Linked DNA regions of Yarrowia lipolytica. The protein of the gene in region 2 interacts with the protein of the main gene of each other region in a pairwise test. Links are inferred from orthologs where the notes say so. Each region holds a gene or a part of one and is shown on either strand. Other genes may lie near its edges. The genes, in order: YALI1_B25762g, YALI1_E11341g, YALI1_B24638g and YALI1_E26788g.

Region 1 (7,414 bases), on a different chromosome or scaffold from region 2:
CTGTCTGTCGTGCCCCTAGCTCCTCTGTGTTTGTGTACTCACCTCTCCTTAGCACGCTCCTCTTCGAGCTTCTGTTCCTGCTTCTCGATGAGCCGCTTTGTGGTATAGCTTATGACCACGTAGGCCACGGCGATGAGGCCGGTCGACACGGCCAGCCGTTTCTTGTTTCGGTTGAGCGACTGAAGCATGGTAAAAGACAAGTCTGTCGTGTGTAGAGTGCCAGAGATTTATCATCACCCCGCTAAACTCAAACTGAACGTGACGTGACCAAGTCATAGGGCCGAGGTTTAATGAGACTGGGGGTGTGAATGGATGTTGGTAGGAATGTAAGTGGTGGCATCACGTGACTTTTCTTCTGGTATATCGATATGGAGTGATATGGGAGCCTCTGGGTCGACTGTAGCAGTATTTGTAGTGTTTTCACTATATATTATCACCTCTCCACCTCCCTATATGCCACCGTTGTACCTCTCATAGTGTGAATATCCTGGTTGCTTGTATCGGTACTTGTAGCTGTAATGAGGGATCGGCGAGTATAAATGATAGTAAAAGTAGTTGTACCATGGGTACGACATGTAATCTACAAGGGAAGATGTCATTTCCATTCTAAGTCATTGGTTATCAACACCAATACAAACACTCCACTCTCAACGACACGTGTTGCTTTTTCACGACCATCAATCCACCACACACAGGAATCGAACCTACAAGTCCCAACCGACATATTTTCAGATCATACATAATCCTCGAGGCTCGCTTTAATTACCATCCACACAAATGATCCATAATATGGCCTCCAGACGGCTGGTGGTCCGGCCGTTCAACATGGCCGGCCACCTGCGAGCCACATACGCCCCCGTGCGATTTGCATCAAACAACGCCTCCAAGAGCCAGCGTCTTGAGCTCAAGCACATTGGTATCATGAATGAGCCCATTATCCCCCTGTCCCATGCCCCCTGGACCAACCCAAAGGGTCTGGTGAAGCACTTCTACCGACGAATGTACGCCTTTGTTGTTAACACATTCAACGTGGCACAGTACCGTCTCAAGACCAAGAAGAAGCCCCGTTTCACAGAGTGGAAGAACGACGCTATTCTCAACTACATTGCCGTCAACAAGGCCTTTGCTGCTCGAGAGCTTGAGTCTGTTGATGACAAGATGAACACCTGGGTCAAGAAGGCTCTTGTCGAGCGATCCAAGACTCTCCCCGACGACGTCAAGTTCCAGTACGGCCCCATTGAGTTTTCCAAGGTCCCCAAGGTGGTCAACTTCACCTACCTGCCCCTGCCCAACCACGCCCCTGGTATCACTCTCATCATCTATCGATTTGACATGACCCAGAAAATTCTTCGGTCCCAGCGACGATCTGATGAGGTCAAGACCACCACTAAGAAGTCCACCGAGTACATTGGCTGTGTCTACGACAACACGTACTCGCCCGCCAAGTGCCTGCTGGCCGGAACCGTGTTCGAGTCCCCCATTGATATCCCTCTGCCCGACCCTGACATGTCTGATGAGCGAGTTGTCATCCAGTCCATGCACGACAAGGGAGACATTTTCCGAGAACCCAAGGCTATTAAGGCTTAAATGTACATAAGAGAGCGAGCCCGAGCAATGCAAAGGCCAGCGACTGTAATAAAGAAATTAATCGATCATAGAAGTAGGGATCCACTGATGTCATTGCCCACTTGCGGGACCCTGTGCGTATTAAACTGTCCAGCGAGAGTACCAAGCGTGCCTGTTACACCCAATAAGAAAAAAGAAGTGAACGAATCAAAGTACAGTAGGAATCACTAGGGGCTGTACTTGAAGCACTGGTACGTACTATGTAACACTCATATAGTAGCTATTGATACAAAACAACTCGCTCAGAGGATCTTGAATAACCCACTGATGCTACAGGTAGTCCTGGCAACAGCATACTGTTTAAAATCGTTTAATGAACCAGTACACCCGTTAATTATGTACATACTAAGAGCACTTGTAGCAAGTGCTTATTCCGCGGCTACAATCGCAATTGGGCTCTATCTACCTATCGACATTACAGTATGTACTTTAGTTGCACTTGTGACCATGTACTGTACATATTCTCAGCTACAATGGCTTCTCAGCCCTAAAATGCTTCAGCTCTACGACATACCAGTCTATAATCCTTTGGCTATTTCGGCTTAGTGAGAAACACCAGTGGAGTGACCCTGGGGGACGTGGCTCTCAGCAGCATCGACAGCAGACTGGGCCTGGGCCTTGAGAGAGTCGGAAGGTCCGCCGTGAGGCTGGATGTTGACAAGCTTCTGAGCGAGGGGCTTGACAATGGCCTTGTAGACAAGCTCGGCACCTCCGTACTGGGGGAGACCAATGTACAGAAGGAAGGCGGTCTTGAAGAGGTAGTAGAAGGGCACCCAGTAAAGGATGGCCTTGGACCAGAACTCAAAGACGTTGAGGGTGGCGAAGACAACCCAGTAGGTCAGGTACTGAGTGTCATCGGCCTTGCCGGGGGTCTCCAGAGCCAGCAGAGAGTAGTAGCCGGGGATGACCAGACCAGCAATGTTGGACAGAAGCTGACCAATTCCTCCAATGTTGAGGAAGATGAGGATGAAGTAGAATCCAACGAAGCCAAGCAGGATGTAGGACTTGGGGACGGCTATTGTTAGTTGTGGTTGGGGAGGCACTGTGGTGATCACATGAAACTAATCACAGGCACTATTGACAGTTGCACCTGTCTTTGCATAACAGCAGTTTTGGGGAGTAATGGGAAATTATCTGAATTGTTTCTGTGCACTCCTGTCGGTTATCAGCTGCTCATCGCAGCTGTCTGTGTAACATGTAACACTGCTAACACGTTCCAATCCGATCACAAAGATCGCATTGATTGCAATACTCACGAATCTGCTTCTCCAGCTCCTTGAGAGCAGGGTACTTCTCGAGCTCCTTGTCAATGTTCTGAAGAGCGGCCTGAACCTGATCAATGATTTGAGACATGTTGAATATCGTCGGTGGTTACGTGGAAAATGAAAGTTGCAGACTGGACAGAAGAAGGTCGACGCACATGGTTCGGTAGGGTAAGTGGGCGGTGAGAAGACTCTAAGGGGTGTCTAGAACAAAGAGAGGGGGAAGGTCCAAAACTCTGTTTGGCTGGACAATGAGATGCGATTAGTCTGTCAGAGATGCAGCCGAGGTCGTGTGAGCGAGGTGCACGACAGTAGAAAGTCACGTGAAACACGTGATACATACACTCACCTGGAAGAGTCACGTGATAACCTTGCCCCGGTATGTGGTATAGAGCGCACTTATCTATGCGTTATTACGATGCTATCAGAGGTTCAAACTTCTCATATTATGAAACGATTGTACATACCTGTAATACATACTGGTGCGTACATGTTGACGTGGTAATATTTGTCGTTACAGCATGTACGGGTATGTGGTTTTTTACGATAACTGTACACATCTGTACATTGGGATGAAGTAGTAAAACAAGGCGTAGCCTACCGTACCTGTGCGACGGGTGACGAGTCGTATAAAGTCGACACCTGTCCTCATCGTACACTATCTCGCGCAACTCGTACGGTACATACACAATCTATTTCTGGAACATGCGTGCGGCTATTGTGACAACAGAAGACTGTAGAACATAAAACACGTGAGAATTCATACTTGTGGATAGAAACACTCGGATATTGTAGTGTCGAGATCCAAAACAGTCACGTGACTTTCACATGAGAACGCGACCTCTTGACTGTAACCCCCCAAACACCAGTTACTACTTGTAGTACAACTCGTACCACACTCCACCATATACGTTATTCAACATACACAACTGCAAGTCGAACGTTGGGCTCCGTGGATCTTAAAATAGAAACTTTTGCGAACCTGACTTGCGCCCGGGAAACGCTCATAGCAACTGCAAATATGAGACCGATGAGGAACCAGACGTAGAGTCACAGGACCATGAGTTAGATGAAATCATTTGATTTCCTTCTAGTGGCCCGCACGTGACCTCATGGTCCTCGTAAAAAAACCACAGCACAGACTGTGGAGGACACTCTGGGACCCACTGACCAACCTTTGATCAACGGTTCCTAATTCTTATTAGCTTAAGTAGGTTATCACGAGACCTAAAAAGAGAGCTATTGTAGGCGATTGGGTGGACTTAGAGAGACGGCGAAAAGTGCTACCGAAACAACACTGCCCGAATATCTATTTTTCACACCCAAACGCGCCCCTTCTACGACCCCTCACTCGTGCACAAAGTGCCCGCGAACTCTGATACCCATAGAATTTACAATCATCTGATATGGTTGCAGCACATCCACAGTGGAATTGGGACATTCGCTGCTTGGATGTCCAAACAAACGGCTCTAAATTGGGGAGACAACTAGCGTCGATCTTTGGCGGGAAAAAAAAAGAGACGCAAGCTAATGGAGAAAAAATATATATATAACTAGAGGTAAAGCAAGGTCGGACAGACGGCTGAAAGAGGACGGATATATACATTCAAATCGTCGCCATGTCTCTCTCACACAATCAAAGTTGTCATGCAGATTCGCTTACATCGTACCTCGCAACCTAACTCAATTTCCCCACCCCACTTGCCAGTAAAAATGGAATATGACAGGGGGGAGCATTCAGAAATACAGGCACAACAGAAGACCGTAAAAACCACCTAATATACATTGCTTTAGTTACTTGAGTTTCATTATTTCCATCAGAAACTGCTCAAAAGACAGGTTGACGTAGCCCGTGTGATCCGTGTCATACTGGACAAACGAGTCTGTCATCCTTTTTAGCGAAATACAGCTCTGGACAAACAAGTCAAAGCCAATGACTCGCTCACCAGAGCTGTTGAAGTCTGAGTACTTGCTGTACATGAACTGGATGAAACTGTTAGACAGACGGTATCCAAATGCCTCCAGGGCTCGCACGTACTCGTCGTACGAGATGGATCCGCTCTTGTCCAGATCAAACTTGTCAAACAGCTTGCGCCAGTCGCCCAAGTAACGCCACAGGTTGCAAAACTCCTTGAATTCGATGGTTCCATTGCCGGACCGGTCGAACATCTTGATCATGACTCTCACCGTCTCCATATTGAACTTTGTAAAGTCCCCGTTGACAAGAGCGTTGCCCAGCTCCTTTTCCGAAAGCCGGCCATTGTTGTTCTTGTCCACGCCGTTGAACAGCATCTTGAGATTCACATCAGGTAAAGGAGCGTATGGAATAGGCGACTGTGTTCCTGGCTTTGTGCCACCGCTGTTGCTGTTGCTGTTGTTGTGGCGACTGGGAGGAGGTCTGTTATTTCCGCTGGGTCCTCCGGCCTGATGCATGGGCGGAGGCTGTTGCAGCTGCTGGTTGTGAGACCGTGGGCTGGGTCGTAGCGGCTGTCCTTGAGGTGGTGGTGGAGGGGCAAAGTTGTTGTTGTAGCCGCCAGGGCCACCGCTCGAACCTCCTGACCCTCCCTGGTTGTAGTTGTTGTTGTAGTTGGAGTTGTTATTGTAGCTGTTGTTGTGGCCCTGGTTGCTATGGCTGCCGCCCGAGGGCTTTCTGGGAGCCTGATGACGGTTGGGGCCGCCAGGAGGAGGCCGTCCATACTGCTGCTGCTGGGGAGGTGGAGGGGGAGCGTCCGAGAAAGTCTCCCCAGGGGTGGGGAAATGGGGAAGGTCGTCGTTACCGCCACGGGGATTGTTGTAGCCGGTGTACATCTGCTGTCTCTGTTGTTGCGGTGGCGGAGGTCCGTGTCTATACGAAGGTGGGGGTTGTGGGACCGAGCTGAAGGTCTCCTGGGGAGTGGGAAAGTGCTGTGTTAGGGAAAATGGAGAGGAGTACGGGGGAGGTTGTCGATCGGGAACACTCACGGGAAGCTGGTCGTATCCCATGGCATTAGCTGGCGAAAGAAAGAGGTTTTTTTTTTTTTTTTTTTGGTTAATAGGAGGACAAAAAAAAGAGAGTGAGAAAAAGAGAGTGCCAAGGATCGTGGGGGAGAGTGTATGTATGTCTTGCAACTGTGGAGTATAGAGTCAGGGCCACACTCCCACTTTGACTTTCTTCACTATGCCTAACAACAAAGCTCTTTGGGACACCCATGCTGCAACCCTAACCGGGGTTTGAATTCAATCTGACATGCAAGCATTACAATCGATAACCAATTAAATTATTTATTGACCATGGACGAGGCGCTACGGAAACAGCAATTCAGCCAACTACAACCACTCACAGTGGCGCTATCCAAGGAAGTTCTGTTACCGCCAAAACAACGACTACAGAAGCAAGATGCCATCTACACTCGCCTCAAGGACCTAAGGGCGTTCCTACAGCAACAAGACCTGATTTGGTCCAAGAACCTCGCCGATTACACATTTTTCCCCATCATGCATCTTCTACAAGGAATAACAGACATTTTAGACCTCCGCGACGGCATTCGAGAATGTATTCTGGCTATCATCGACATTCTGATCTCAAAAGTGTGGAATCTGGACATGAATCAGACCTTAGCAAGGGAGCTACTGTCTTTGTCTGCAAACCTATCATCTGGAGATGACGACAAGACTAGCGACGAGACCAGATTGGAAGCGGCTAGATGCTTTGGAGGTATTTTCCCTTCAAAACCGGCTCTAAATGATGTGGGCCCTATCATCATGCTGCTACTGCAATGGGGAGAGAAAGGCGGGTCTGTGGAGCTACGTGAACAATCATGGATGTCTTTATTGGCACTATTTGAGGGACTGAGCAGCAAGGAAACCGCCCAGATCCTTCCGGGAGTCGTCTCTGGAGTCTCAAAGGTTGTCAATGGGCATTACAAGGTGGCGGTGGCCGCCCTCAAGGTGCTACGACAGGTGACGGTGACCGCACTACACAATGGATGCAAGGATGATGAAAAGTGGCTTGAATACACCCGAAAGCAGTATTTGGTGACCCTAAAGATGATATCTACCCGTAAGCACAACCAGACAAACACTCAGTTGATCCTATTGTGCTCAGATATCGTTGGAAAATGCAACGAGAGCCTGGAAAACTGCTTGCCTATCTGTGTCGATATCCTGCTTAGCTTAGACGCTACTGAAGAGTTTATCAAGTACCAAAGCAAGCTTGAAACGGTGCTGGACGAACGAATGTATGTCTGGTTGGACAATCTGCCGTCCCTACTGACGAGAAACGACGATACAGAGCCACTGGCGGTACTCAAGTGTCTCAAGGGGGGCATGCAACTACAAAAGGACGACGGATCCAGAAGTCTGCTGGTGGAAAAGCTGGTCGAAGCGGTCAATAGTATCAACCAACATGCCATTGCACCAGCCAAGAACAAGATGCTGTCTTCAGATACACCAATCAACTTTGTTAAGCATGAAGGAATTAACAAAAGAGCAATTCAGGTCGATCATAATGCCAAGCACGTCATGCCGTTCAGAGGCTTCGGTATCAC
Region 2 (7,431 bases):
CCAGTGGACACACCAATGCGTTTTAGCAGGGTCTGGAGCTTTTTGACAAAGGCAGCGGCATGCGAGGCGGTATGAATGACGGGCGCTGTGACAATTTCGATAAGAGGCATGTTAGTTCGGTTGAGATCCACCAGGGTCTCTGATCCGTGGTAAGTGGACTTTCCAGTATCCTGCTCAAGCTGAATCTGAAGAATAGGAACGTCGATAGATCGAGATGCCAGATCGCGTGTGTCTGCTGAGTCAGTGTTGGCCTCCTTAGCGAGTAGGGCAGGCCATTCATTCTGACTGTACAGATCCCACCAATTGAGCTTCAGCTTTCCGTTGATGGCGAGCGGCTTTCGATGTTGAGTGATCTGGTAGCCTGCGGGCTGGTCCGGGTAGAAGTAATGCTTTCGGTCGAAGGCAGTGAGCTCCTTGACATCACATCTCAGAGCAATGGCCGCCTTGAGCGCCAGAAGCAGAGCCTGGGGATTCAATCGCGGCTGTGTTCCGGGAAGAGCTGCGTCGAAGTAGCTGACTTTTGTGTTGGGCGTGGTTGACAACGAAGGTACTGTGGTGGAAGAAAACAGTTTTCGTTTGGTGAGCAGCTGTGTGTGGATCTCGAGGCCGACAACCAGCTTGGGAGCAGTCGAGGTGGCGTAGGTACGGGATTTAGTCACGTGAGTGACACGCGCGACGATTTTGGTGTCACGTGATATTCGGAGCATGTCTTTTTTTCGGGCTGATGATCGACCGCTGTGGGGTGGTGGTGGTGATTGTGGGAACGTTGTGATTGAGTTGCTCACCCAAGGTTGAAGGTGTAAATTAGGTGCAGCTCCCTGCATGATGTTGCGATTGGGGGAAATGGCAGAGTTGATAAAATGTGTCCTGGATGTGACTATCGGTGAGAGGGTAATTAATATTGTTTTATTGAGTATGGAGAGGTAGAAGGAGACGGTTGTGAGTGAATTGCAGTTATTCTCCGCGTGTTTAAGAGTGTCGTAGAGAGTTGAGCAATGATTGTTGTTCAGTTAGTTGAAAGAGAAGTGTATATTTGTTAAAGATATCGGAGAGACATACAGATAGTTGAAATAAACCAGTTGAACAAAAGATTCTAGTAAACAATCATGTCAACGGATATCTTACCCCTGTCACTATATTGCAACTTCTCTTGATCCTGTTTCACTCTATATGACTAATACTTGCCTACAGTGTGTCCAGTCTCACCAAGGCTGCAATACCCACCATACCACGTCTACTATATGCCGCACAGTCTATAATAGCAATCTGAATGAATACTTAGCAGCATCGGGAATCTGATCCGTAGTTCAATGTCTATAAGTATTCGGAAATGGCAAGTACATGCTACTTTATGCCGACACTGATATTGATTCGACCCATAGTATAGCCAGTAGAGGTCTCAGAAAGACTTGGAAAATGTCAGGGAGTTTCTGAAGAGCTATATGATGTCCTATTAGTTGTATAAATTGATTCGAATAGTTTCAATTCCTTCTGACAAACACTAGATAGGTGTATTTGTTGGACATTAGCAGCAGCATGTACATAGTAGACCAACTTCTCTATTGCTAAGAGATCTTGCACCTTACTGAATTACCTATAATTTTTCACCTCAGATGAATCTGAATGTATAGAGCTATTTGCTCAACTCTGCGACACTCTTCCTCCTTCGTGTCGTGTGGGACGGGCGATACTCGACCGCCCCCATTGAACTCAAGATGAGAAACGAGATAACCAGATGAAGACATACACACTCCCAAATACAAGGGCTTGGGTGACCCTGAAACTGTTTCAAACCAATCTATACACTATCTGACACTCTCCAACATCCAAACTCCGCACTCATCTCATCTCAAGCAGCTACTTTATGCCGTCAAGGTGAGCAGGTCGTATCGCTTTAATCGATACAAGACAGTCGCTATGACTCTAAGGAATGTCCAAATTTTCCCAGGCCCTATATAAACCACCCCCAGACCCTCTTTACTCTCCATCAAACAAGTATTCTTCACACCCACTACAATGCAGATCAAGAACCTCGCCCTCCTCTCCATGGCCGCTCTTGCCGTCGCCGCCCCCATGAACGACCAGGCTGAATCCCCCGAGGACATCCACCAGTTCAAGGATAAGATCCACTCCAAGAAGTGCCCCCAGAAGGAGTGCCCCAAGTCCACCACTATTATCACCACCCACTACACCACCATCACCGGTACCATCGCCATCGATGCCAAGCCCTGTGCTCCTACTCCTACCCAGAAGAAGCACTGCCCCAAGTGCGGTGACCCCAACTGTGGTGGTTGCTAATGGGTTTCCGATCATCTACAATCGAACCCCAGGGATCCTCTAGAGTATTATCAGTACTATGTAGACGTTTTATAACTCTCTCAAAACAATACATTTTTGACCAACCCCAAGCTCCAGTAGTTCTTGATACGCCTCCTAATCTCAACTACTTTTTAACTAAATTGTATTTCATAATCAACTAATAGTTGGGTGTTTTCCACTCATCAACCAGCACAAGTACAACAGGATACTGTCCATCAAATGCGGTATTTGTTTGTGTTACAGAGTACATACGGTAGTTGTAGTGAATATCGCGTGCCAGAGCACAAATATACAGGTAGACCATCTGAAACTATTACACACACTGCCACTGGTAAAACACTCAACCTCCAATCAGTGTATCCTAACACCTAACAATACATAACCTATCTAACTATATACACTCCCCTTTTGCGAATTCACAGAACTCGATTGCGAAGATAGCCAGTCACAGACATAGCTCTTCTGTCTAGCACTCCAAAAGCACTCCAATATGGACACACTCCTCCGTCCACTCCCCCATGGCACAGGCGACCCACGTCATCGCCACCAACGGCAGCTTAGGAGAATTTCCACCTCGTACCACAGTTCTCGCACGTGCAAAACGTGGTCAACGGCTCATCTGCAGATCTCGTCTGCATCTGGTAGTAACTGACCTTCTTCTGCTTGCACTTGCCGCATGTGAATCGGTCCGTCACGGCTCTCTGTTCCGTGGCTCCTCGAGCAGCAAACAGGTTCTGCTTCTCCATCTCCTCAATCTCCTTCTTGAGCTCGTCGGACGCCATTTCCTGGGGCGACATTCGGCACAGTCGTTCGGCCGAAATTTTGCCCGAAATGACGTTGCCTCGCAGACCGGGGTTCTTTGGGTCCTTGAGGTTGATGTACAGAGATCGCATCTTGGGGCGGTAGTTGCCGCCGGTGCCGTTCTCCATCTTGTACACCTCATTCTCAATGGCCTTGGCGCAGGCGAGCACCTCATTGGGGTGCGCAGTCATGCCGACAGCCAGCGCAGTGTAGGTTACATCGATGCACCGGTTTCGCACCTTGTCCGAGTAGATTTCTGTAGACACACCGTCCTTGGCCGGGGTTCGTTGGCCCGAAGGAGGCGTATACGAAGTGGCGTTACCAGAAGACGCAGAGCTGGACTTGACCGGTCGGCTCTCCTCCTTGGTCTCCTTCTTGCCCTCTACCTTCTTGGACGCGTCTCTCTTCTGGGCCGTCACCGTGTCCTTCCACGACTTGATCATCTTCTTGACCAGGTCCGAGATCCGGCTGTCGCTGGAGGTTCGCAGCTTGTTGACGGCAATACCCAGCTTGGTCTCTCGCAGCAGCTTCTCCGTAGGCTCCACCTCCTTGTGCAACACCTGCAGAATGTCGTATACCGCCTCGCCGCTGGCCTTTTCCAGGTCAGCCATCAGCTTTTTGATTTCCGCAACACTGAGTCCCATGATGGTAGTGATGTGATGATGACTTTACAGAGATGATGTCTCGACCGAGTGCTGAATTGTTCGCGTGAGACTGCTTCCAATGTGAAACTTTATTTTTGCCCGAGACGAAATTTTGGCACAGCAATATGCACGGTGATATTACTATGGTGGAGGTGGTTGGAGGTGGTTGGAGATTGGGCCAGAGACGTATATATCCGGCATTTTCAGGTTAAGAGCCTGTTTGTGGATTGTAAGGGCGTGCGGTGGGTACGACGACCCCATAATTACCCTGGGTAGCTCTCAGCATGCGCAGACTTCACACTTGCTACTGGACGCCCTATCTTGTAGGACTACCGGTACTTGGGTACATCGGCGTAATCAATTTAAACGGACTTAACCTACAGTACAGGTTATGAGCGAACTCAGGTGAGACTTGTAGATCTTTGGCGCAGATAAGTTGTTGATCACTGTCAGGAGAGTCCTGGGCGTATTGACGACGGCCTAATGAGCAAAGGAGTGTGTGTCACGTGAGCAAATGAGTCTGACGACAAGCTTCGAAAGTTATCTTGTCGATATATCTCCGGGTGCTGCTGTTGCGTTGCACAGTCTAAACCGGCAACGCATGTCAACTGAGCTTCAAGTCGACAGACAAACGTTTCCAAAAAACCAACAAAAAAACGTCTCCAAAAAACCAAAGAAAAACGTTTCTAAAAAACCAACAACAAAAAACATCATCTGAGCGAGTTCTGATTCGAAATTTGACCGCACTACTCCACCTTTAAGTACTCAGTGTATCCTCAAGCGTTGCCATGTCCTTCGGAAGCCATGTACTTTGCCATCCCAACTAAATTACTTACGAGTACTTAGTACAAGTACAGTTCAGTACTGTACAGTACATACTGCAGTCGTCCTCGCACTGTCTCAAGTAAACATCATATCATGGATAAGGGAAAATATAAAATACTCAACTTCGAGTGCAGAGTTCTGATACTTCAACAACACAATTAAACAGTCCCAAATTGCCAAATAAATCAACCAAAACACTTATTTCCATACCAACACACACATTATTCGCCCTTATATAACTCCCCCACCCATGCTGCCAGCACTCGAAACAAGGTTCCTTGTTAGCAACAACAACGTCACATTAGAATCCTCATTTTTGATAAAATTACTCTGAAAATTTGATATAAACACTCCAGAACTATCTTCAACCACACAGAAGCCACTTGACTTCGAATCATCAGCTTCTCTCCTCTTCTTCTCTTCTTCTCCAAGTTCCACTTGCTCCAAACTTTCATCACAACAAAGTTCCAATCTGCATACATTTCAGTCTACTCATCTACCGCTGAAACTTCCACCTTGAACATCAACACCAGTCTTCGATTGTCACACGGAAACCCACCACGTGACTGTATTTCGACCCTACTACTCCTTGCATTTCCACCACGTGACTCAACACGCCGTTTGCCAACGTGCTTATACGCCCACCTACTTATTCAACGTCGCAAACTTGTCACAGACATAAAATCATCAGTTGTTCCGACTTGAACAGTACGTGACCGACCCACCAGCCACACAGTCGTCGTCTTGTCAAGTGCCCGACTCCCCCCACGTTCTCCGATTCTCGATCACCTGCATTTCCAATCGAGTTACCCAGCCGACATCTTAGTCAGACATCCAGAAAACCTCGTGACACATCTCGTGACTGCACCCAAGCACCCACCCGCAAAGTCACCATCAGCACACTCACTACTTCACAATGACCGATCGAGTAGTTTACGTTGGATCTATTCCCTACGATCAGACAGAGGAGCAAATGCTGGACATTTTCAAATCTGTGGGACCGGTCATTTCCCTAAAGCTCATGTTCGATAAAGAAACCGGCCGTTCAAAGGGCTACGGATTCGCAGAATACCCCGATGCAGACACTGCCCGATCGGCTATTAGAAACCTGAATGGATTTCAGGTGGGCTCGAGACAATTGCGAGTGGATCATTCTCATGAGGGACAAGTCCGAGAGTTCTTTGCGTCTCAGAACCGATTTCCCAACCCCAATGTGTCTAAAAACGGACGTCCTGGCCTGCCAGCGGGAGTTCCTCTTCGGCAGGGTCTGGAACCTGCTCAGCAGGTGTCCGAGACTATGAACGGGTACACAAAGAGCCAGATGGTTGCCGTGGTGACAGACCTGATGAGCATGAGCAAAAACTCGCCTCAGCTCCTGGCGGACTTGTTTGCTCAGGCGCCCCAGTTGGCTTACGCTGCTGTCCAATGTCTTTTGAACCTGGGTCTGGTGGACGAACAGCGGGTGTTGAGTGTTGTCAGAGGCAACCCTGCCCTCATTGCTGGCGGCAACCCCCCATCTGCTCCTGCCCAGTCCACACCCGATCCTGTGGCTGGCAATGCTGCTCTTATTCAGCAGGTGATGGCTCTCAGTGAAGCCGATATCAACGCCCTGGCCCCCGAGCACCAGAGAAGTATCCGAGAGCTCAGAGACCGAATCCAGCGAGGTGAGGTTATTTAGCAAGAGCCGAGTGAAACACGACCAGATAGATTAATGAAATGTACTGTATATTGCATAACAACGAGCAATTACTGTAGTTTGATAAGTGTGGATGTGAGGTGGAATAGTGCCATTTTACTGGTCGCAGAATTCGAAGTACTGCAGCGTAGGTGTCCATGGTGTGTGTCAGTATACGACTTGTGTGATCTCAACGATACTCTCCCTACCGTACTAGAGATCCCCTAAATAGAACGTACTGTATGGATCACTCTTAGCAGTATTGATTGAGAGAGAACAGTCACCGTACATTAATTCATCAATACTATCCAGACATTTCATCGCAATTCTCTGCCCGATCCGATCTAAACATGACTCGTACTCTCGAGGTTGTCTGTTTTGGACTTGAACGGCTCCAACATTTCCAGATTCGAATTGACATGGATCTTTTTGGTTCTGTCTTCTCTATCGAAGAATTTTCATCAGAATGACATCAACATGTAAATATTCGTACCAATCACCCGTTTTTCTCCCCCTGTCCATCTCCTCTGTCTCCCCATAATAACCCTATTGTTCACTAACTTCTGCAGGCCAACCTACCTCTTTTCTTACATCACCACATTCTCCTGCACAACTTTGGAGCAGACGATCCAACATACGCCCCACGGCAGCAATCACTAATCCGAAAAGTGCAAAATGGACAGAAACACGCCGCAACCGCCATCGCGGACACTTTTTGTCGGTAACTTTCCGTTTGAAATGACCGAGCCAGAGGTTCGAGACATGCTGGGACGACATGGCACAGTGGTGGGCTTCCGTCTGGTCACCGAACGAGGCCCAGCAGACAACCGACGATCAAAAGGATATGGATTTGTTGAGTACTCGTCGATACCCGAGGCCGAACGAGCTCTGGAGTCTCTCAGAGACGTGCGAATCGGTCAACGTCAGATCCGAACAGCCTTCACACAAGACATGCAGCAACATCGAGCAGAGAGAGCACGTGAGGGATATGGGCGAGATCAGGGATACGGTGGAAGAGACGGCGGACAGGGATACGGTCGAGATGGAGGTAGAGACTACCGATCTCCCCATCCTGATGGACCCCAGAGTGGATATGGGGGTAACCAGGGCTATGGTGGTGGCCAGGGATACGGCCAGGGTCAGGGATACGGTAGCGCACAAGGATAT
Region 3 (7,719 bases), on a different chromosome or scaffold from region 2:
GTGCAGCGTAGATGCACTCCCAAAATTTACCACCAGGATTTCTTTCACCACACACATGAAACTCGGAATCAAGGCGAAAACGGGTCTCGGCCTTGTTGTCGCGTACACAGCGTACTCAACGTATGTGCATTTACGCACCCATTACGAAATCAACGATCGGCTGGACAAGAAACTGAAATCCACCGACTTTGGACTCAGCTCCAACGTTTCTCTTCGAGACGGTATCCCTCCTTCTGTGCAGTTTCGACCCATGGTTGTCGGAGGCAAGTTTGTCAATCCCTTCAGCCAATACCGACACCAGACTCTTTTCGAGTTTGTGTACTGCAACATTGTCAACCTATTCCACTTGACTCCCCGAGGAGGTCTCCCCAAGGACCCCAAAGAGCTCAAGAAGCTGCTCCCCAGTGTGACCCCCGACTTCCAGCTGCTATCCGAGCCCGTCAAGCAGGTCTCTGCTCTGATCCCCTGGAAGCCCAAGTCTTTCATTCCCAAACCGCAGGATCGAATCACCCTCACCTGGATCGGACAGTCCTGTGCGTTTGTGCAGCTTGGAGGACTCAACATTCTCACCGATCCTTTCTTTGGTGACCATCTGGTCACATCGTGGATGGGCCCCCAGCGACTTTCGAAGGCCCCCTGTCAGTTTGAAGACCTGCCCAAGGTCGACATTGTTTTGGTGTCACATGACCATCCCGACCATCTGGAGGTGGACACCGTGAAGAAGATTGGAAACTCAGCTCTGTGGGTCGTGCCTCTGGGTGTGAAGAAATTTCTGGCTAAATACGGCGTCTACAACGTTGCCGAGCTCAACTGGTGGGAAACCATGGGTCTCGAAACCCCGAAATCGCAGGAACTGGGCGAGAAATGGACCGTGGCATGCACTCCAGCCATGCACTGGAGTGGCCGAAAGATGTACGACGCCAACTCGACTCTCTGGGGCTCTTTTATGGTCATGAAGGACGGAAAACCCCACTTTTTCCACGCAGGAGATACTGGATACTCACCAGAGCTGTTCCGAGGAATCAAGGAGGAATACGGACCCGGGTGCAAGCTTGCCATGCTGCCCTGTGGCGCTTACAAGCCCAGATGGCATCTCAAGAGTCAACACATTGACCCCCAGGAGGCCGTTAACGTAATGAAGGATCTGGAGGCCAAGAATATGGTCGGTGTGCACTGGGGAACGTTCATTCTCAGTGACGAGAAGTTCACAGAACCCCGAGACTCGCTGCACAAGATTGCTGAGGACGCTGGGGTCGGCAACTCGGTTCTGGCTCCCAAGTTTGGACAGACACTGGTATTCGATACCGGTGACGGCAAGGGTGGAAGCCATCCTCCTGAGGAGATTAGAGAGGGCAAAGCGCTACTTTTTAGATGAAGAGCGAGCTTACTTGAAGGGTTGTGAGAGAAGTCGCGTGTATTGCCCGTGATTTGATTCAAGAGGAACTTGACTACAGTACACTGTACTCATACTAGTAAGTCAACCGCCTTAGAGGATAGATAGAAGATAACTTATAGATGATAACTGAATGATGTTTAATGTTGATGAGAATTACCCAAAAGAGTGTCCGAAATGTCTCAAGAGTATTGTACTAACAGGTCTGTAGTTCAATCGAGTGTTTTGATACAAGTATACAAGTATTATGATATGAAGATCATACGTTTTTGATGTCGTCCTATAGACACCATACGTATTCCACACGCACCCCACAATCATCTAGGTAACAGTTTCTCCACTACCTCTCCCTGTCACAATAATAAAAGCCGATTCTGTTTTTGTTTTCTATTCTGGTGTCTGTTCTGGTGTTTGTTTTGAGGTTGATCCTGAGTGTCCTTCTTTTACAGTATTGGACCCATGGACTTCTTTAAGGAGTCTTTCAGAACCTCAGAAGACCCGTTGTTTAGCTTAATCGACTCATTACCGAGTCCTCCGGATGTCTTCCGTAGCCTTAACCCTCCCCTTGGTTGCACCAGGTCAATGTCGAGCTCTTTGCGAAAAACAACAACTAAACTGATCCTTCACAAGAGACCATATTTTCTCCAGGTATATCTTCTCCAGGTACAGTAGTACGACCTTGTACGACCTTTTAATTACTAACAGAAGAACAGGCAACTCTAGTCTACTTTACGCCAACCAACTCCTAAACTATCGTATCGTCATTAATATATATACATCATCCTGGGGGGCAGTGAGCAGCTGACCGTGGACAACCACTCACTCACCTATCATATAATCGGCTCGCTCGTTATTTCAGTTTAGCCGCTTCCTCATCACCCATCTTATAACAATGCTCCTGGGCAGGGAACACTCCACCCTTGACCTCCTCATGGTACTGCTTGACAGCTCCAACATTAATATCAAGAAACTGCGAGTACTTTTTGAGAAACTTGGGCGTGAAGCTTCCAAATCCTCCCAGCATATCGAGCATGACCAGCACCTGCCCGGAGGTTCCGGGTCCAGCACCAATACCGATGGTAGGGACCTCTAGCTTCGAACTGAGCCATTCTCCAACCTTGTCGGGAACTGCTTCAAGCACAATAGCAAAACATCCAGCCTTCTGCAGTTCATACGCGTCTTCCAGAATACTCTCTGCTCCAGAGGCAGTCTTACCCTGCACTCTGAATCCTCCCAACGACGACTGACGCTGGGGGGTGAGTCCGATATGTCCCAGAACAGGGATTCCCACCTCGGTCAGTCGCTTGATAGTGGGCGCCAGTTCCTTGCCTCCTTCCATCTTGACAGCCTCCATTCCTCCCTTTTGGATCATCTGAATAGCAGATCGGATAGCTTTCTCTGGGGACTCTTCATACGAACCAAAAGGCAGGTCTGCAACCATAAACGCGCTCTTAACACCTCGAGAAACAGCCTTAGCATGATACACCATTTCCTCGAGCTCGATTTGGTTGGTGTTGGGGTACCCCAGAGCCACCATGGCCAAGGAGTCTCCGACCAGAATCATATCAACACCGGCTTTGTCAGCGATCAGACCGGTCACGTAATCATGGGCCGTTACCATGCTGATCTTCTCCTTGTTTCGTCGCATCTTGGCCAACTCGGGAATAGTGACCTTTTTTCGAGTTTGATCTGATGTCTGAGGAGAGTGATGGGCCGAGTAGGACCGGGCCAAAACTGGTGTGACAGGCCGGGCCGAGCCCAGAACGGGCCTCAGAGTGCGCAAAAGAGACATTTGTGTGCTGGCGTGCTTTCGGGCGCTTTTCGGAACGTGGTTGAACGACTTTTGGACTACTGTGCAAGGGCTTATGTACCAACGGCTAATCTCCAAATTAGACTCCACATTTTTTCAGACCAACAGTTTCGAAACTTTATCCGTGAGTTAAAAAAACCTCCCGAGGGATGTGGGGTAGATGACATATCGATGATAGCGACAGTCGGTCATGGAGGGGTATGCTAAGGGCTCGTGACCAGCTATGACGTCATCAAATACTGGCACGTAGGCACACTCCTGTGCCGCCATCTGCTCCCCTGTATCATATGACCCTCAACACTTTCACAGCAACCGGGAGATACACTACGTAACCTATACACCCACTGCGGCGGTCATACCAAATGTGTGAAGCACACGATACAAGCGACCAACCCGAGCAATACAAGTAGCACAAAGACACAGCCCCCCCAAAAGTCGGCCCTAGATCGCATGACAAATCGCTCACGCGGCCCTATCCCCGCCGCTCATCCGCTTCCACCATGCTTTCACGTTGTTTACACACGTTCCGGTTGTTTTGTCTTTTTTTTTGCCTCCTATTTTCACTCGGCCCTGACTCACGGAATCTTCGCGGTGATGAGCTAAACCCGGACGAAAAAAATCCCCCCGGCGAATAACTCGGGAGGGAGAAATGTGTAGGGAAAACGGATGGCACAGAAATGTGCGCAAAATCAAGATCTCCTTAATAATATAGGTCCCTAAAAAAATATGTACGTGAAAAAAGTTGGTCATAATCTATGATGGAGAGCGCTTTGGACTAAGGTTACGCACTCGGGAGTTGAATGAAGTTGAACCTGATATCCCCCGTAGAGAAATACTATGGTGGGTATAATAGAGATTTATAGATATATAATATGGTATTATTGTATGTCAATAGATAGCTATTGATGAGCAGAATCTACTAGTGTTGTTAGATTCTGTATATCAATAATATTGGGGCCATTATGGACAATAGTATGGAATTTTCAGGCGATTGAAATATAATTCAATTTGATCATACTCTATTCATCTCTCTATTCTTTCTATTAGTACGAGTAGCCGTTTCACACTCCCCACTTATGTAACTATCGAGACACAAAACAACCACACATTGTTGAACGGCTCTTCCCAAATAGGAAGGTCCCAAATACATAGATCAGATGAAATACGCAGCGTCTAGAAGGATATTGCGGTGATTTAGAGGGAAATGAAGTATTTCTTTGGAATCAGCTAACTCAGGGCTTTCGACTGATATAATTTACTTCTGTAATTCTCGTCGAGGGAATATTCTTCAAAATTGACAGTGGAATCAAGTTTGGGTTGTGATTATGTAATCTGATTTTGATGTCTTTATAAACCCGAATAAAAAGTATTCTACTCTATATTTGACATTATACATTTTATAGAATGGAATCCTTTTTATATTGTCAAAAAAATATCCAGCTTGACTCCTCATTTGAGCATTCTATGGCCCAGTTCGAAACTCCACTTCCTCATGTAAGGTTTCGCAAGTGTGACATAATTGACGTTGATAAGACTCCACTCCGCCCATCTTCAACCTACATACACACACCACCATGGCTCCGAAATCTGCAAAACAGGCGTCGCTGAGCTTCAAGAGCACCAAGCCCAGCATCAAGCGGGATTTCAAGGTCGTCAAGCAGCAGCAGCAGCAACACAATGATATCAAGACCAAGGACGTCAAACCGCCAGTACAGATAGAGTCGATTGAAACCACCATCTGTGACGAGCTGGTCAGGGAGGAGGCTGAAAAGATCAATTCTCTGCCGGAATTGGATCCCAGTGAAAAGGTGTACTCGGACGAGGCCCACAAGATCGCCGAAAAGAGCATTGCACCACCCGTGCATCCCGAAGAGGTCAACAACTGCGAAAAGATTCTCAAGAACTTTGACTTTACCGTCGACTTCGGGCCTGTTGTCGGTCTGACCCGGCTGGAACGGTGGGAGAGAGCCAACAAGCTGGGACTCAATCCCCCAGCTGTGGTGAAGAAGATTCTCGAGACCAAACAGGGAGAGACAGAGGATGTCTACAAGCAGTCGTACCTCTATGATCAGCTTGTGTAAGGCACAAGAGGTGCGGAATAATGTGACTGGGTAGCAACTGGAGGGCTAAAACTATGACAGTTTACGTTCACGCTGGGTGTATGTTCTTGCAGTTTACGGATGAGTACTCTTACAACTGTTCGGTTTGAGCCTGCCCTTTAAGAACATTATGGCTCATGGAAGACAGTGGATTGTGAGAACTAGATCTTTGCCAGCAACTGTACTTTGACGCTCGACCTATTTATCAATGTACTACAATTGTAGGTAATTTAACAACGAATGAAGTATTCTATGAATCTGCAGCCACGAGGAAGAGTCCAGAGTAAGGTCGAAAAAAACCAACAGGGCTTTTGAAAGGGAAGAAACACAAGACGATGGTGAATGAGATTTTCATTGGCGGGCCACTTCTTGAGAAGTCAGCATGTCCACAACACAGAAGCATCCTCACAAGATTAGCACTCTCTTCTCCATCATTATTTGATATCCTTAACCGTCTGTTCCCCTCCCTTCAGTATTCCATTTACAACAGCCTCAAGGTCAAATCAGCCTCACATATTTTAATAGTGCATCTCCACCTCTACAATAGAGACCAAGTTGATGTTTTGAGGCCAACCAATGGCGGTCATATGGGGCCAACTGAAGTGTTACATATAATCGACCTTCCAGACTCTTGTTTCTCAATAAAAACAAACAGAAACTAGACGAGCTACTGGTACGATACGTACGGTACAAATACTCACAATGACACCTGCCGAAACCATGATTGTGTGGACTTATGTCAATGAGTACCCGAATGAGACCTCCACCGAGTCTGCTAGACATCTTCTTGCTAGATTCGAAGACCAAACCCATCTTGGGTACCACCGTATCTTGCACGAGATTCGCTACTGGAAGTGTGAGTTCTTTCTGCACCCTTTCTGAACATGTGTAGTGGTCTACAGGTGAAGCGGAGATGTTGTCTTCAGATACCTCGGTTGTTCAGGTACCGTTTTTTTTAATTTTTATAATAACATAATACATTAAACTCTATAGAATATGAGAAGACTACCAGATGTCTCACTGTAGGGTAAGACTTGTGTTGCTGTGACGACTTCACCCCACCAGGTTCTGTGTTACCAGAACAACCCACAAATCCCACACTATTACTGCAGTGAGCTTGTCCAGGTTTCTACTGTCAAACTCAAAATCATTTAGAGTTCGGGAGTGCAGAATGTCCTGATGGTCATGCATTTGTGTCCATGGGTTTGTGTCCGATACTGTAAATCTATAGTGTAAAAAGTGAGTGACCGTGAACTCCACTAACGCGCCAACCACGAAACTGAGTCCTAACAATGATGCCTGCAAGGCCACCAAGCGAGCAGCAAGATGCTCCTGGTGCTCCTCTACAAGGGGTTCCTCTCGAGTGTTTCAATGACGACATCTCAGACTGTGACGACGAAGGAGAGGATATCGAGCCCGACGACGACATCGACCCAGACCACGCGGAGTTGGAAGTTGTTCCTGACCAACCAGAGATTCGTGTTGGGCCCGAGAAGGTCCATAGGGTTGTCAGCGACTACCGAGAACAGATCAGCAATCCACAGCCCGACCTGACCCCTCCGAAACGAGTGGACGACCTAAGGTGTGTTGCGGAGAAGTACGAAGAATTGGAGGGATACCGCCGCGCTGGGGGGCTCACTCAACAGCAAGTCGGCGAGCAGCTCCGCGAATATGCCCTCTCGATCAACGTGCGTTTGCCTAAAAAACCCTCCGATGCCAGGAAGGAAGTCAAGAGGAAGGCAAGGAATTGGCTTGACAAGCAGAGACCTGATAGGGGAGTCGCAAAGAAGCGTTACCATGATCTGGAGGAGGGAGTGATATTTGTGTTTTCCAAGACCACCAAGGTCGCCTCACTCGACATGCACACTGCTACCATTATTGTCAAGAAGCTTCTAGACAAGATAGTGGCCCTGGTGCCTGACTACAGGGAGCTGTGCGGCATGAAAAACCCCGTGCCCCACCGCCATTGGATCAGGGACTGCCTCATTGAGGCAAAGAGACGTCAGCTTCGCGAGTATGGCGAACGAAGCTCTGTGATTGATGAGAAGGCCGTTGAAAAATTGGGGTACATTTGGCTGGCCATCGAGGGCTATGCGGCAAGCCAGATCCTCAATGCAGGCCAGACGTGCATGTACCTGGGCTTCGACGGTCAGGAACACAAAGTCTGGACCAGCCAGCCGTTTGTGGGCGTGAAATGCAAAAAGGGCCAGTTGACTTACACCTTCATGTTCTGCTTGAGTGCTGACGGGTCGTTTCTCTTCACGCCTCATGTCTATGGGAAGCAGTACTGGCCCATGTGGTGCTCAAAGGCTCAGGACTTGCACAACCCGGCTCGTGCGGTGGTCCCTGTATCTGTCACGGAAGAGTGTACGGCAGAGGCGACTCTCTTGCTGCACGCAGAGGCAGATGCGGTCAGA
Region 4 (7,124 bases), about 1.5 Mb from region 2:
GTCAAGTACCCTGTCGGTCTGCAAGCACTTGCTACCAGATCAGGCAATACGCTGCTGCTGTGCATCCAGAGCTTAGGCCAGACTGGAAGCCAGCTGGTGGATCAGCAGTGCCTCTCTCTGTTCAACCAAACACTCAACACACTTTTGGTTCCTCTTGAAACAAATCAGTTGACTCTGAAGGCAAACTCACTGCTCTGGGACTCCTATATTCGACCCACTCTTGCAATTATGAGCGCCAATACTTCTCTGGCCAACGTGGCCTGTGCCTCTTTGGCGTGCCTCTTGAGATACGACCAAAAGGTCCAGAAGGACAGAGAGCCAGTTTTCAGCACCAGCATTCGTCAGCTCCTCACATCTTTGTCGCCCAGATGGGTCAAGGCCAACTACGACAAAATCATCGACGTTGTCAAAACAATTCCCTTGGATACTTCTGGGCCCAGTTTTCTGGCCGTCTGGTCGGCACTGGTGAACAACATCTCGCACTCTGCCGCCAGGGAAATCCATCCCAGCCCGGAAACGTCTGGCTTTGTCATGTCAGCCTGCAAACTACATCGTCACATGACCTCTAAGACTCCTCTGGACCATAAAGCTTTCTATAGCTCGGTTTTCGCGGTGGCAGGGCTTCCGCACTGCATCGATAAGGTCATTGAAGGTACTACGCCCGCAGCATACATGTTCGAGACACTTGTGGACGCCGAAGAGATCCCCTCCGAGGCGAAGAAGTACCTCCAGTATATCTATTCACAGCTGTCTACCGCTGCTCGACGGTTCCAGTTCACCCAGAGCATAGCCAAGGTCGCCCACAGGCACGAGTCGCTTTACAAGATTGTTCTGGACCACACCGGGGAAGATATCAACGGTCCGGAGATGTCTAATCTGTCTCCCAAGGGGATCTACACCATTCTGGCTTCCCCCAACAGACCTGCGTACCCGGACACATGGTTTTCCATTCTCAAATCGGCTACAGAGATGATTCGGAAGGATGCCTTCCTTGGGTCTACTCAGGAAGTGCTCATTGAACCTCTTCTGCAGATCATTGATGAGTCGCTACAGCCCCAGGTATGTCTTCTCGGTATTGAGCTGATCGACAAGAAGCCTCGAGGAACTTCTTCACCCATGTTCCGATCTCTCACAACCGACATTCCCAAGGACTTCATGCATCTGGGTGCAGTTTCTTCCAAGCTGGCGACACCGGAGATTGTCAACGCCGTCAGAACGTGTCTGAACACTCTACCAGACCATTCCATGCCCTGTTTCTTCTACAGATTTGCGCCTGTCGTGATCCAGGCCATTTCAACTACTCCGGAACAGCACAGGAAGTTTCTGTGCGATAGCATTGTGCGGAAGCTACGGAACGGGCCCATGTTAACAACAAAAGTGTATTTGGACCTGCTTGTCACCCAGATCTTCCCATCTTGGTTCGAGGAGTACCAGGATGAACTAAAGAAGAAACAGGCTCCCTTGGTTGCGTTTTGGAACGAGTTGCTTGGCAACGACACCCAGATCGTTCTGGACGAATCCGTCATGAATATGCTGCTCTTCAAGTTCGTGTCTACTCGCCAGGAGGTGTTCTATCACGGCCAGAAACTTGAGAAGCCCACACGAGCAGGCCGAAAGTCATCATCTAGGAGCGACGCCAGTCCCTCTGTATCTCCCAACATGTCTCCCACTAAACGAAGAACAGATTCGCTGGAGTTTGAAGATGGTCCTCGGCGCAACAAGTCCAGACGACTGTCAGCTTCACCAGTCAAGTCCTCGCCACTTAGAAGATCTTCTCCTCGTCTGCAGGAGCTTGTCAAAGTCGAGTCTCAGATACGAGACGTGGAGGTTGGCCGGTGTGTTGGAGGGTTGGATGATCTGGCACTTCAAACCGATCAGGCTGTTGACCACCTAAGTGAACTCGAAGGTGTGACTGCCAGAGAAATTGAGCAGATTGAATCGACTCTCATTGGAGCTCTTTTCAAGTTGAACCAGCTCAAAAAGAATATTGCATAGACTAAATTAATTATTCATATTAGAGGCTCGATAGTGTTGAGATCTCCACTCTTTCTTCTCAATGAGGTTAGGCTGGTCTAAGTTGTAATACAGGTACCTACTCGTACAAGTGCGTGAAACACATGTGTCACTATTTTTCTGATTACTGATATATTGCTTGCTGCCTGCTGTTTCACTTGATATTAAGGCATAAATAGTACTTGTTTTTTGTTTTTGTTTTTTGCTACCAGGGTAGTTTTCGTAGCTCCGAACTGCGGCTAATCATAGTAGGTTCTCACGAGACCAACGAGAATCTCGCAGCCTGCAACCACTCCATCCACAACCTTGACATGGGGAGCCACCGAGCTGATCACGTCCTCCATGCCTGCCATACCAGCGCACCCCAGACAGATGACCGTGGCCCCCTTGTCTAGAGCCGCCAGGGTGGCCTGTGCGATTCTCTCGTTGACCAGCGAGGTGTCAGCCTGATGCAGTTCCAGCACTCCCAGCCCGGTGCCAAATGTGCCCACAAAGGTGTTTGCAGGCACGTAACGGCCCACAGCCTGATCCAGTACAGGTTCCCACTGACTGCCGGTTGTGACAATGGCAAACTTGCCTGTATCTGGCAGTCCCACGCTCATATTGAGACTGAGAGAGTGCAGAATGGCGGCCTGGAAGATGCCCATAACTGGCCGATTCGTGTGTTCACGAAGAATGTTGACGAGCGCATGGTCGGAAAAACACGCCACCAGGAATCCATCGTGCTGGTCGAGCACTGGAAGTAAAGCTGGAAGACATGCTGCTGCCGACAAGGTGCCTGTGGTGTAGTCGTTGATGGAGTCTGGGCCGGTGGAAGGACAGGTGAAAAACTTGAAGGTGAAGTCGTGGGGCGGGTCAAGAATGTCCTTGAGTCCGTGGGTCACGGACTGCGACGAATTGGGGTTGATGATGAGGATCGAGGGCATTTCAACAAGTCGTACCGAAGGAAAGGGGGCGCCTATTGGAGAAGTGCCGGTTTGGATGTGTGCCTGTTGAATGTGTTTAATATGTGTGTATTGATGCACGGCTGTACGGGGTAAATGCGGAGATGATCAAGGGCCTGATACTGCACCACGGATTATATATATGGTTGGAGCTGGGGTGTCCATCTATCTTTTAGGTCCCACTATACCCCGATACGGGTATTATCAAGAGGTATTATGGCTGGCCGATTATGCTGTGGTTGTTGTCTTTAGACGGGTGTGGGGGGGGGGGGGCTTTGGGCATGTGTCTTTTCCAAGTGCTGTGGTTGGTGTTTTTGGAAAATAAAAGCAGTCGTAGACTCAGAAAACTCGGCAGAACGGAACTGGAAAGTCTGGAGCGTCTGCACCGCTTCCTACACTGAAGTGGTCGGATCCTCCTAATGATCCTCTTCAAATTAGGTACGTTCCACTCTAATCATAAATAAGGGACAGAGATCATCTTCGGAGGCCTTATTGCAGTCTGAATAGGGGGGTCTGCAAGAGTGCTGTGTCGGTGAAAGTGCGGGACGTGGAAAGGTTGGGCGCAAGTAAATAAGTATCGTACGAACAGGAAAATGAGTGGTACGTACAAGTGCCGGTACCAACAAGGCTTTATATATCCGGGACCGTTTATGGAATGCACATATCTCTTCTCTAGGCGTCTTCCCACATGCTCCTCATCGCTCGTACTACTCGTACTCGCAATAGTCGCTGTTGACAATGGGACAATATGACGTCAGGTCAACAATTTTCTTACAAGTACCGCATTTATTGTACCATATTGGGCACACGTGTAGCAAAAATATCGGTGTCGGTTGCTCGGTTCTGCATGGGTGGTGGTAATATCGGTGACCGAATCCGCTCTGCCGATCGCTGCTTAGTCAGATCTGATAACGAGACCCGACATCGAATCACTGCGTGCCCTCCATTCTCCCCATGCGCCACGCTCTGGCGGCTGAAGTTTGACGTTGTCGTACCAAGGAGACGTATGTGGGCGCCCCAATGGCCCATCTGTCGAGCAGTAGCTCGTGGCGAAAGAGGCTCAACAAAAGGCCGGGGGAGTTAGGCTCCGTGGCACGGTGGCGCAATGGGGCTTATTATGGCGTGTGGCTTGACTTTGTGGCTTGTCATATCTGAGCGACATGACGCAATAGCCCGCCGCTACTCCCGTCAGTCCCTACAAAGCGTCGCACTGGCAGTAGCGCCAACTTTCATGCTGGCCCAAATAGAGTGGCAAGTATGACTAGGTTCATGCGGCTGGAGCCTCGGTTGTGGGGATGCGTGTTAATCTGCCAAAAGGGGCATATTGGAATGCCGGGGAGTGGCTGCGGTGATCAGGAGGAGAGCACCGAGTGTTGGTTCGAGGCCGTCAATGGCTGGTATTATCGCCCGCAGTCAGAGCTACACTAATGGCTGAGCTCGTACATGGCCAGTCAGTCTGTCTGTTCTCGGTGGGTAACACTACAGACCAGCTAATGTATGAGCTTATCGGAGTATTACTAAGGCAGTGGGGGGTCGAGGTGTGCCAGAGTACAGCAGCAGGAGCGAGCAGAACGGCCACAAGATACAGTATTGTACGTAGAGTGTGCGAGTCTATTGTATCGTACAACCGAGAAAGACTGAGCAATTGCAACATGGTCGGTCGCCTTTTTTGTGGGGTACTTGTAGACTTTATTTCATGTTTGTTGTTTCGGCTCGCCTTGTCGCGCCGGTTGTTTTCGTCAAATGCCGGTATTGCCCGCCACAACCACTGACTCATTGACAGACAAGCCCCTCTTCGCCATCAGATAGTCGCACTCTGTTGTGTGACGTGAGTCAGCCCCGTGCATAAGCCCTACGTCTGGACCGCTACATTATTTCATAGCACAGCAACAGAGCCGAGTTTAATGGTTTGAAACCTAGGTGGAAGAGGGGCGGGCGAGGTATCGTACTGTGGGTGCGATAGTTCACCAGTCACGCTGGTGGGCCATTCTCTTAGCACATTTCCCCCCTCCCAAGTCCCCTCAACCCCCAATGTAACCCTCAACCTCCCACAGCTCAGTAGCACACGTGCAACTAGTTAGTAACAACCCCCCTCCGTCCAGCTTCTCTTTCACACTGCTTAGAGTTCGGGTGCCAACGTTGCCAAACTACCCTGACGTGCTAACAAAGGAAAGCGTTTTTTACCACCCTCTGCATATATATCCAAGGTTGCTGCACCCCCAAGGACCGATATAACACCAATCTTTTTTTTTTTGCCCAGGCATCCTCACACACTCCACACACACACACACATACACACTCACAAGACACTCACCATACATACATCACCATGACTGGCACCTTACCCAAGTTCGGCGACGGAACCACCATTGTGGTTCTTGGAGCCTCCGGCGACCTCGCTAAGAAGAAGACCGTGAGTATTGAACCAGACTGAGGTCAATTGAAGAGTAGGAGAGTCTGAGAACATTCGACGGACCTGATTGTGCTCTGGACCACTCAATTGACTCGTTGAGAGCCCCAATGGGTCTTGGCTAGCCGAGTCGTTGACTTGTTGACTTGTTGAGCCCAGAACCCCCAACTTTTGCCACCATACACCGCCATCACCATGACACCCAGATGTGCGTGCGTATGTGAGAGTCAATTGTTCCGTGGCAAGGCACAGCTTATTCCACCGTGTTCCTTGCACAGGTGGTCTTTACGCTCTCCCACTCTATCCGAGCAATAAAAGCGGAAAAACAGCAGCAAGTCCCAACAGACTTCTGCTCCGAATAAGGCGTCTAGCAAGTGTGCCCAAAACTCAATTCAAAAATGTCAGAAACCTGATATCAACCCGTCTTCAAAAGCTAACCCCAGTTCCCCGCCCTCTTCGGCCTTTACCGAAACGGCCTGCTGCCCAAAAATGTTGAAATCATCGGCTACGCACGGTCGAAAATGACTCAGGAGGAGTACCACGAGCGAATCAGCCACTACTTCAAGACCCCCGACGACCAGTCCAAGGAGCAGGCCAAGAAGTTCCTTGAGAACACCTGCTACGTCCAGGGCCCTTACGACGGTGCCGAGGGCTACCAGCGACTGAATGAAAAGATTGAGGAGTTTGAGAAGAAGAAGCCCGAGCCCCACTACCGTCTTTTCTACCTGGCTCTGCCCCCCAGCGTCTTCCTTGAGGCTGCCAACGGTCTGAAGAAGTATGTCTACCCCGGCGAGGGCAAGGCCCGAATCATCATCGAGAAGCCCTTTGGCCACGACCTGGCCTCGTCACGAGAGCTCCAGGACGGCCTTGCTCCTCTCTGGAAGGAGTCTGAGATCTTCCGAATCGACCACTACCTCGGAAAGGAGATGGTCAAGAACCTCAACATTCTGCGATTTGGCAACCAGTTCCTGTCCGCCGTGTGGGACAAGAACACCATTTCCAACGTCCAGATCTCCTTCAAGGAGCCCTTTGGCACTGAGGGCCGAGGTGGATACTTCAACGACATTGGAATCATCCGAGACGTTATTCAGAACCATCTGTTGCAGGTTCTGTCCATTCTAGCCATGGAGCGACCCGTCACTTTCGGCGCCGAGGACATTCGAGATGAGAAGGTCAAGGTGCTCCGATGTGTCGACATTCTCAACATTGACGACGTCATTCTCGGCCAGTACGGCCCCTCTGAAGACGGAAAGAAGCCCGGATACACCGATGACGATGGCGTTCCCGATGACTCCCGAGCTGTGACCTTTGCTGCTCTCCATCTCCAGATCCACAACGACAGATGGGAGGGTGTTCCTTTCATCCTCCGAGCCGGTAAGGCTCTGGACGAGGGCAAGGTCGAGATCCGAGTGCAGTTCCGAGACGTGACCAAGGGCGTTGTGGACCATCTGCCTCGAAATGAGCTCGTCATCCGAATCCAGCCCTCCGAGTCCATCTACATGAAGATGAACTCCAAGCTGCCTGGCCTTACTGCCAAGAACATTGTCACCGACCTGGATCTGACCTACAACCGACGATACTCGGACGTGCGAATCCCTGAGGCTTACGAGTCTCTCATTCTGGACTGCCTCAAGGGTGACCACACCAACTTTGTGCGAAACGACGAGCTGGACATTTCCTGGAAGATTTTCACCGATCTGCTGCACAAGATTGACGAGGACAAGAGCATTGTGCCCGAGAAGTACGCCTACGGCTCT

Evidence for each region.
Region 1: the proteins of YALI1_E11341g (region 2) and YALI1_B25762g interact in a two-hybrid assay, tested with the Schizosaccharomyces pombe proteins (2 studies listed by BioGRID, with this or other methods). The link is inferred for Yarrowia lipolytica from reciprocal best matches to the Schizosaccharomyces pombe genes tfs1 and yop1.
Region 3: the proteins of YALI1_E11341g (region 2) and YALI1_B24638g interact in a two-hybrid assay, tested with the Schizosaccharomyces pombe proteins (2 studies listed by BioGRID, with this or other methods). The link is inferred for Yarrowia lipolytica from reciprocal best matches to the Schizosaccharomyces pombe genes tfs1 and ecm31.
Region 4: the proteins of YALI1_E11341g (region 2) and YALI1_E26788g interact in a two-hybrid assay, tested with the Schizosaccharomyces pombe proteins (2 studies listed by BioGRID, with this or other methods). The link is inferred for Yarrowia lipolytica from reciprocal best matches to the Schizosaccharomyces pombe genes tfs1 and SPOM_SPAC1F7.10.

What each region holds. Positions count from the first base shown.
Region 1 is NC_090771.1:2,573,618-2,581,031, forward strand, and holds YALI1_B25762g (uncharacterized protein), read right to left. Parts: upstream 2,980-7,414; coding exon 2,883-2,979; intron 2,642-2,882; coding exon 2,169-2,641; downstream 1-2,168. Other genes in the region: YALI1_B25734g (uncharacterized protein), read right to left, coding at 43-188; YALI1_B25744g (uncharacterized protein), read left to right, coding at 778-1,587; YALI1_B25795g (uncharacterized protein), read right to left, coding at 4,683-5,870; YALI1_B25798g (uncharacterized protein), read left to right, coding at 6,159-7,414. UniProt on the Schizosaccharomyces pombe protein: Required to generate and maintain the structure of the tubular endoplasmic reticulum network and the vacuole. Induces high curvature in membranes and causes membrane tubule formation. Involved in membrane/vesicle trafficking.
Region 2 is NC_090774.1:1,130,407-1,137,837, reverse strand, and holds YALI1_E11341g (uncharacterized protein), read right to left. Parts: upstream 3,765-7,431; coding exon 2,877-3,764; downstream 1-2,876. Other genes in the region: YALI1_E11370g (uncharacterized protein), read right to left, coding at 1-824; YALI1_E11351g (uncharacterized protein), read left to right, coding at 2,017-2,290, 2,742-2,776; YALI1_E11323g (uncharacterized protein), read left to right, coding at 5,506-6,267; YALI1_E11309g (uncharacterized protein), read left to right, coding at 6,940-7,431. UniProt on the Schizosaccharomyces pombe protein: Necessary for efficient RNA polymerase II transcription elongation past template-encoded arresting sites.
Region 3 is NC_090771.1:2,460,614-2,468,332, forward strand, and holds YALI1_B24638g (uncharacterized protein), read right to left. Parts: upstream 3,186-7,719; coding exon 2,244-3,185; downstream 1-2,243. Other genes in the region: YALI1_B24606g (uncharacterized protein), read left to right, coding at 56-1,375; YALI1_B24654g (uncharacterized protein), read left to right, coding at 4,778-5,284; YALI1_B24672g (uncharacterized protein), read left to right, coding at 6,595-7,719.
Region 4 is NC_090774.1:2,675,877-2,683,000, forward strand, and holds YALI1_E26788g (uncharacterized protein), read right to left. Parts: upstream 2,940-7,124; coding exon 2,253-2,939; downstream 1-2,252. Other genes in the region: YALI1_E26742g (uncharacterized protein), read left to right, coding at 1-1,995; YALI1_E26790g (uncharacterized protein), read left to right, coding at 3,100-3,258, 3,301-3,411; YALI1_E26811g (uncharacterized protein), read left to right, coding at 5,287-5,370, 5,811-7,124.